Linked DNA regions of Danio rerio. Each later gene encodes a partner of the first gene's protein in a complex. Links are inferred from orthologs where the notes say so. Each region holds a gene or a part of one and is shown on either strand. Other genes may lie near its edges.

Region 1 (4,434 bases):
AGCATATTTTTTACCCAGTGGATGCCCTTTCAGCTGCAACCCATCTCCGGGAAACATCCATACACACTCATACACTACGGACAATTTAGCTTACCCAATTTACCTATACTGCATGTCTTTGGACTGTGTGGGAAACGGGAGCACCCAGAGGAAACCCACACCAATATGAAGAGAACATGCAAACTCTGGGGCTCGAACCAGTGACATTCTTGCTGTGAGGCGACAGCACTATCTACTGCGCCACCGCATTGCCAAAGTATTTTTAATAAAGAAAAAAATTCTGAGAACCAAGTGAATGACATTCCTATACAGAACAACTCACAGAAATTAACCATCAGCCCATTTTAGAAATGTATGGGATGAAATACATTTGTTTAACTCTACTTTTGTTTTTATTTTAGAGACAGATAATGCACGTTTCTGGTAGAATGTCCTGTACATTCTAGTTACGTATAAAGTATGTCTTCAGAAACATAACTATATATAAAGGAAGTCTAATAACAGTATACAATCAAAGTGCATATAGTTGCCAGGGGTAAAAATAAACAAAGAGATTTAATAATAATAATAAAAACATTTAATTAACGTAATTAAATTTGTATAACTGATTTCATTACCTTTTTTCAGGTCACGTGTGATGTCACTTTTTTTTAAAAACGAAAAAAATGTTACATAAGTAACAGGGAATACATAAAACATTAATTTGTGCTTATATTGAGTGACCTGAAAACAATTTAAACATATTCATTGTATATCTAGTAACAAATGATACAAGGGCTAAGGGAAAAAAAAAAATATATATATATATATATATATATATATAATTTATTTATTTTTTTTTCTCAGTTGTTTTAGCAGCTTTCTTATTTTGCGATGGGCAGACAGATTCATAATAAAGTTTCAAGTCAAGACAAAATGTTCTAAAATTAGGCAAACACTGAATAACTGCGTTTGTGAAGATGGAATAAGCCACAAAGAGTACATTTTAACCTATTGTCCATTTCCTTACAATCTGACTCCCAAATCCAAAACAATAAATTTATTGTCTTAAAATCAAAAAGTTTTTGTAAGCTGAGAAGACAAGCCAAGATATTTCTGTCTGATATCATTACCTATCTGGACGTCAGATGGTCGACATGTGCCTGTGGTCGCCTGGCAACATAAAAGCCTATTCAGCCAATCACAAGCTTCTCCTGGCGCATTGATACCAGCAAATAGTATAGTATGTTTTTAAATTTCTCATGGAGCTTTAGTTCATAAATGTCTTCTATCACGGCGCTTGACGTTGGAGTTCAGGTAAGTGCAATGCAGAGAGATTAGTTAAGATTTAATGATTCAAATAAAACAAAAATGCTGTGTGTGATCCACGTGTATATGACAAGGCTTGGGGGGAAATAGTGCGCGGTGGAGTTGCGGATGGTCAGGTTATTTTGTAGGCAGTTATAAGAGAGAGCGCGTGTGTGTCTTCAGAAGTGAAGCTCTGGCGTTTGATGACTGAACAGATGGATGGAGGTGCTGCTGCTAAAACTTATTTGACATCCACTACTTTGTGCCAACCACGTTGCTGAGCACTTCAGGTGGATTTCCCGAGAACAGTAGGTTGCATTTATTTCAAGAGTTTTTCTCGATTTAAGCGAGTTGAGTCTATGTGGTTTGGATGCAGTCGCGAGGTTAACTTTAAAGTTTGTTTTTCCGATTAAATCCATTAACGTTAGAATTTTTGGTGTGTTTGTCCCGAACGCTGACTGAGACTCTTTCGACCCCTCACGTGCACTTTTTCAAACGCTGCTCTTTCTCTTCTTCGCCATGCTGCGATGGTTCGGTTGTTCATTGAGGTTAAGTTAATTTAATATTCACACATTCGGACTTTCTCCTTAATAATGCAATTTCAGAAAAGTACTGCTAATCATACATTTTAAAAATCATATTAGCAGCAAATAAACAATATAGGGAGCTGTCAGCGAACGAACGAGCGAATGTTAAATAACTTTACCTCAATCGTTTGTTCGACTAAAATTAGATCGATTTATTGTATTTAAAATATAGAGCGACTGTTTTTAATTACTTCCAATGAATGTACTTGTGTTGCAAGTATGTATGCTGAGGTGTCTTGTGTCTTAAAGTCTTGTTGTTTTTATCCAAATTTGGAACGCGTCCAAAATGATACTTTTTTGTATGATTATGTAAAACAATTGCGAATAAATTAACTTTCTAACACATTCCTGAAATGATAGAGAATTTCTCAATGGGAACTAAAAGCGGACCGTTTAGTATCAAACTTTTCCTTTAATATTATTTGATTTGTATAGTTGACAGCCTCATTTTTTAAAAATTGTTGTGAATGTTTTTACACTTTTTGTTGTTGTTGTTTAGTTATAAAACTTAATTTAATGTGAATTTACATTTTTCTTTTGTGCATTTCTTTTATCTCTGTGCTTTTCTATTTTGGGCTTGTTTTACTTGATAAACTAATTGAGCAGCAGCTGAGTGTTACCCCGTAAATGCTTCAGTTGATGTTTGGAGTTTGTTTGGCCTTCTGGAAAGCCTGAGAATCAGTGTTAGCTTTTCTGTTATACGAGAGCAGGGAACCTGTTGGACAGTGTGTCTATATGTGTTCCTTATGTACCATGTGTTTAATTTTAATTTCAGGCTCGTTATTCAAGTTAAATATTAAAATGCAAATCTTTTCAAAGATTTAGTTTTTTTTCCCCTTTTATTTAAAAAAAAAATGGACTCAGTGAAATTTTTGCCCTTGTATTTTATCTCAGGAAACTGCATAGATGGCAAACATGGCCTCAGCCTCAACCTCATCCAGCAATGAAAGTGAGTCACAAAGTGTGCTTACCTGGGAGCAAGTGAGCCGCTTGAACGATGTGCTGACAGAGGCCGTGCCGGTTCATGGACGTGGCAACTTTCCCACCCTCGAGGTCCGGCTGAAGGATATTGTACAGATAGTGAGAAATCGGCTGGAGCTGAGAGGCATTATGGTCAAAGATGTGCGTCTGAACGGCTCTACAGCCAGCCACGTGCTGGTTCAGGACATTGGTTGGAGCTACAAAGACCTGGACGTCATCTTCAGGGTAGACCTTCCTCGGGAAGAGGAGTTCCAGCTCATCAAAGATGTGGTTCTGAGCACTTTGTTGGACTTTCTACCAGAGGGGGTGAATAAGGAGAAGATCACCCCGATGACACTGAAAGAGGCCTATGTCCAGAAGCTGGTCAAAGTTTACACTGATCAGGACCGCTGGTCCCTCATCTCACTGTCCAACAACAATGGCCGCAATGTAGAACTAAAGTTTGTGGACTCAATCCGGAGACAGTTTGAGTTCAGTGTGGACTCCTTCCAGATTATTTTGGACTCTGTTCTGTCCTACTATGACTTGTCAGAAAATCCCATGTCTCAGCATTTCCACCCTACGGTGGTAGGGGAGAGCATGTATGGTGACTTTGTTGAGGCTCTGGGCCACCTCACGAATAAGACCATTGCCACCAAACGCCCAGAGGAAATCCGTGGTGGTGGTTTACTCAAATACTGCAACCTCCTGGTGAGAGAATTCAAGCCTACAGATCCAGATGAATTTAAGGCTCTGGAACGCTACATGTGCTCCCGTTTCTTCATTGACTTTCCCGACATTGTTGAACAACAGCGCAAACTGGAGGCTTATCTTCAAAGCCACTTTATTGGTGAGGAGAGGAACAAGTACAACTACCTCATGATCCTGCGGCGGGTGGTGAACGAGAGCACTGTGTGTCTCATGGGACACGAGAGACGGCAGACGCTGAACCTCATCTCACTGACTGCGTTCAGGGTGCTCGCTGAGCAGAACGCTATACCTGATGTGTCCAGCGTCACCTGCTACTACCAGCCGGCTCCGTATGTCAAAGACCTGAACTTCAACAACTACTATGTGGCCTCTTGTAACCAGTCCATTCCAACTTGGTTGCCGTGTAACTAAGACACAAAGGATGCTTATTTGAAGACTAAATCCATCAGTTGGTCAGAACGCCAGATAATTGGCCATAAGGGAAGTTTCCCTCTGTAGACATAAAGGATGTTTAAAATATCAAAGTTTTTTTTTCTTTTTTTCTTTTCTTTTTAATTCCTTCTCTGCAGAGGTGCCAAGACATTTCTAATTCAAAGTGATATATTTTAGGGATTTGAATTAATTTTTTTCCCTTTTTTTACTTTAATAAGAAGTTTCAGATTTGTTTGTTGCTCTCATCTGTCCCTTATCTGAGAGATTTATTTTCCATATTGAAGAGAAACAATTCCCATAGTGCCTTATTAGATTCTAACCCCAAAAGTAAAGCGTATTGGGACAAATTTATATATTTCCTGTGTGTTACAAAATATAAATGCCAAAAAAATATAATAATGTTCTTAGAAATTTGGAGAAAAAAAATACAAAAAAAAAATTAGAAAGAAAAAGATGA
Region 2 (4,609 bases), on another chromosome or scaffold:
TTTGATACTTGTCTCCTATTTAAGTGCATTGTTTTTTGTTTTTTTTTATGACGGTATAACACCCTATTCACACGGGGCTTCAGGGTCAACGCTTGGCTGAAGGCGTTTGTGAAGCTGGGGCTAAAGCGATCGTCATAGCAGCGTCAGCCAATGAAATTCAGTCAGCAATAGGTCAATGTTTTGCTGGTGTATTTGATTACAGCGATATGATTGGCTGACGCTTTCGTCGGCGCTTGAAAAGTTGAGCTAGTCCCAACTTCTGCAGCGAGCAGCACCTCGGAAGTGGCGCCGACAGATCCACAATGCAATTCGGCAACGCCTGACGTCACCCATTCAAAGTGATTAGGAAGCATTGACACTGACGCTCCGTGTGAATGGGGCGTAAAGGTATTGAAACTGACACCGTTGCGATTTTTAGATCCTGTGGTATACCATATTACGTAGTGTATGAGGGTGACAGGCCGGCCGGAATGTGTAAAAAAAAAAAAAAAAGTCGTTATCATATGGACTTGTTCCAAAGAGCCGACCCCGCAACCATACGGGACTAAGGCCAAAGAAGAAGATATACATATATATATACACTTTTGAAATCATAAAATATATCAAACTAAAATGAAATCTGCACTGATATGTGGTAATAGTGAAGCAGGTGTGTGCGCTCCCTCTATTGGGAACTCTTACTGCAGTTGTTTGTGCAGGGGCAGAGCGATCTGCGGCGGGACGTTGACGAATCTCTCGCTCAGCAGGAGCCCTACAGACTGAGTGTTACCCTGCAGGAGATTCTCCATCCGCTCCTGCACATCCGGAGTGCTGCACTTCACACACTGATCCAGTATCATGTCCTTCAGCTTCTCCAGACACTCCACACCCTGATAAACAAACAATAATAATCACACTTTAAGCCAAATGTCAAATTTTCCAAGATACTCACCAATTAAAAAACTGAATTTGCATGACCTTTTATATTCCACATGCTTTAATATGTTCAAATAACTTAATATTAACTTTGTTTTAGCTTGAATATCATTTTGCATGACTTTAACAGCCACTACACTGTGAAATGCGAAATACTCATGCAAAATATGATATTCTAAAAACTCCAGTGGGATTGTTGTAACTCAGATCAATCCTACAGAAAGTAGAGTGTGTGTGTGTGTGTGTGTTATGATTGTCTGACCTGTCTCTCGGTGAGGTTCACCATACTGATGAAGCCAAACACCTCGTCCGGGTCGCCCTCATCATCACTGTCCTCCGGTACTTCAGCTTGCTGGAGCAAAACACACACATAAACTATAATACAGCAATATCAGAGCAGAACTACAGATGTTCATTATTACTGTTAGTGAATATTATACAAATGAGTTTTAAATATATTAAACATTTACAGTAGAGCTGCACGGTATATTGCTCAACATCAATATTCAGTGTTGCCAGATTGGGCGGTTTTGAAAACTGCTATTTAGAAATAATTTATTAGTTTAGAATATGTGAAATGATTCTGTAGGGAAGTGAATTATCCATAAAAATGTCAAAAAATAAATTAAAAGTAAAAATAAAAGTGAAATAAACTGTTTTAGGGATTTCAGGGAGTGTTCAGGTTCATAATTTCAATAATCAAATGTTACAAATGCTAAATTTTCTTTGCCTGAATACTTTGAACACTGTCAGGCCCAGGGGCGGACTGGCCATCTGGCAATTCTGGCAAATGCCAGAAGGGCTGGACCAATTTTTAAATGTGGGTCGTTCAGTTTTTATTTAAATGTATTGTTTTTACGTGGAGGCAGCTTTTATCTCTTGCTAGATGTGATATTATGATGATGATGTTAATAATTATAATAATAATAAATGTTAAGCATTTGGACCAATTATGACGGCCGCCTGATTTCAAGATGGGCTGACCCAATCCGAGGTTACCCGGACGCAATCAAAATATGGCAAGAATGTCATTATTTCACCATCTGTACATCAAAATAAATAGTGAATGTGCGTGTCCGTGGGTGGGGCTATGCTGGTGTGGTAATGTGGGCTGATGTGGCTACAGTGCCAGGGCTGAATTTTTGTCCCAGTCCGCCCCTGGTCAGGCCTTAAAAACAGATGCAAATAGTAAACCTTTACTACATTATAGTGAACATGCTTGTTAAAAAATGTATGTAGTGAATATACAAAGTACATATTTTCTCTAGTAAGATGTATTATTTGTGTTTATATAAATATGTTTGATCATTTTAATCCCTTTTTCCCCATTTACAACTTCTGTTTGTTCCATTACTATTTTATTTTTCCGTTATTTACATTATTGTACCTACTTCTTTTCTTTTTGGCTCTTAATTTAAAAAGTACGCTACATGGACATAAAATAAATCTAAACTGAATGAAATACACAGTTATGACCAGTAAAATTTAAGCTATTTTGGGGGGTAAATGAAAGTGTATTACCCTGATGACACTGCCGATGTGGTTCTGCTGGATGATGATGTCAGTGAGGTCAGAAGTGTTCACGTGACACTTCAGAAACAGCTGCAAAACAACAACACACATTTATGTCTGCATTCATAAATTAACACTCATATAATCACCACATAATCTGCAATAAACCGACGTTACCTGTTGAAGAAGGGTTTTGATGCCGTGAAAGTCGTTGTCAGAGATCGTGTGTGCTTCGAAGTCCACAATAACCTCCTAAATGCAGACCAAAACACGTGTGTTGGTCATAAAACAACGTGTTTTTCAGACAGAGCCAGCATGGCCTGCACATCACGACATTTCTGCTCGCAAAAACAGTTCGGATAGGAACTTACCTCGTTTACTTCTTCTTCTGAATTTTCGCTGTCGTCGTCGCCAGAGTCTTCCAGACCCTCGTCCGAGCTTTCGTCGCTGTCTTGTGGATTTTGTCCAGTTTCAACAGCACGCCTTTTGGCAGATGAAGCCATGCTGCTTCACTAGTGTACAGGAAACAGACACGAGCTCGCGCACGGCGACGTTTTGTGTCGTCTACATGCTAGGAAACTGAGGAGTCTAATCGGACATTTTGGCTCATTGTAGACACAAAGTCGCGGGCGCAAACACGCCATACTCAAGATCCAAAATGGCGTCTTTTCCAGCTCACGATCTTAAGAAGCAGAAGATACCATATTTTTTTACAGAGGGGTGCTGCATGAAAATGATTTATTACTTTTGAATAAACAATTGTATTGATTTAAGTGCCAGATAGTAATTTTGGTTAATAAAGAAAGATAAATATTGTCGTGATGTTGGAGTTACTTCAGAAATGAATTATATATTACGTAATTTTCAAAACAAACGTCGATGGTACCTGTTAGAACAAACCTTCGATGAAATAAATAAGTTTCTCTCTTACTTAAGTTTTTGTCTTACAAGTCAAGATAATATATTCCACTAGTAACTTTAATGCGTCTACCTATTAGTCTATTCGTTATCGGCCTATCTGTCCATTCATTCATTCATTCATTCATTCATTCATTCATTCATTCATTCATTCATTCATTCATTCATTCATTCGTTCGTTCGTTCGTTCGTTCGTTCGTTCGTTCGTTCATTCATTCATTCATTCATTCATTCATTCATCCATTTCTTGCCTGGTGAAAGGGGTGGTTCTTTTTTTCTTTTTTTTGCAGTTATACGCCTCAGTTTCTATTTAACTATAAGATTTAAATACTGCATTTTAGTGATTTTTTTTTTGTTGTTGTTGCTGGATTAGCTAGTCAGATGTCATCATAACCACACTTTTTGATGTACAAAAAATATTTCATAAAAACTTGCTATAAAGAAAAAATAAAACAAGACTAATTATTAAAATACAAATTTATTACATCATATATCATTAGAAAAAAATAGCAATCTGTTAAAGTTTTAAAGTAAAAAAAAACTGCAGCCTACTGTCATTTATTAGACAAAAACAAACTGGCCAGCACATTTAACTTTTCTGTCACAATTTGGCCATTTCAATAAAAAAAAATTAAACATAATAATAATAAAAATAATAATAATAATAATAAAAATAATAATACAATAATAATGAATTCTTTCCCAGAGATGGGTTGCGGCTGGAAGGGCATCCGCTGTGTAAAACCTTGCTGGATAAGTTGGCGGTTCACTCCGCTGTGGCGATCCCGGATTAATAAAGGGACTAAGCCGACAAGAAAATGAATGAATGAATGAATAATATACTTTTTACCAGTTTATATTTGGCAACATTTTAGTTTAGGTCACAATTCACAGTATTAAAAAACACTGAAACTAACACTACTAGCTTAATAAACCAACTAGCTGTTTATTAATAGTAAGTAAGGTACAAATTGGGTTCATGTTAGGTTAGGATTAGGGATGTCCCCCGGCTACGGGCATGATGTAGTGGGGTAGTAAGTAACATGCTGTTAGGTTATGTGACCGCTAGATGGCGTTCTTGGATAATAAGAAGCTTAGCACCACTAGGAGTTTAGCAGAGTCTTTAGTCAGAGTAGTGTGTTGTTGTCCTAGCCGGGCTCACTTTCTGTTCTGATGTCCCGCATCTGTCTTTAATTATATTCATCTGTCTCCATATTCTACTGCATCCCAGAATAATACACAGCACCAAAAATGTAAAAATATA

Evidence for each region.
Region 2: the proteins of tent5c (region 1) and bccip are in contact, whole or in part, in a cryo-EM structure (PDB 8EQB), measured with the Homo sapiens proteins. The link is inferred for Danio rerio from reciprocal best matches to the Homo sapiens genes TENT5C and BCCIP. Residues at the interface, in NP_060179.2 of Homo sapiens: Asp90, Asp92, Glu102, Gln106, Arg109, Lys135, Glu136, Val139, Gln140, Lys141, Leu142, Val143, Lys144, Val145, Cys146, Thr147, Asn164; in NP_510868.1 of Homo sapiens: Val57, Asn58, Ile59, Glu60, Phe61, Glu62, Ala63, Tyr64, Ser65, Arg136, Gln146, Cys153, Lys155, Ala204, Gly205.

The regions. Positions count from the first base shown.
Region 1 is NC_133184.1:22,394,752-22,399,185, forward strand, and holds the start of tent5c (terminal nucleotidyltransferase 5C), read left to right. Parts: upstream 1-1,471; 5' UTR 1,472-1,595; intron 1,596-2,768; 5' UTR 2,769-2,780; coding exon 2,781-3,956; 3' UTR 3,957-4,434. UniProt on the Homo sapiens protein: Catalyzes the transfer of one adenosine molecule from an ATP to an mRNA poly(A) tail bearing a 3'-OH terminal group and enhances mRNA stability and gene expression.
Region 2 is NC_133187.1:47,448,792-47,453,400, forward strand, and holds the start of bccip (protein BCCIP homolog), read right to left. Parts: upstream 2,993-4,609; 5' UTR 2,931-2,992; coding exon 2,799-2,930; intron 2,680-2,798; coding exon 2,605-2,679; intron 2,518-2,604; coding exon 2,437-2,517; intron 1,268-2,436; coding exon 1,178-1,267; intron 870-1,177; coding exon 682-869; exon of another isoform or gene 433-681; intron 320-432; exon of another isoform or gene 1-319. UniProt on the Homo sapiens protein: During interphase, required for microtubule organizing and anchoring activities. During mitosis, required for the organization and stabilization of the spindle pole.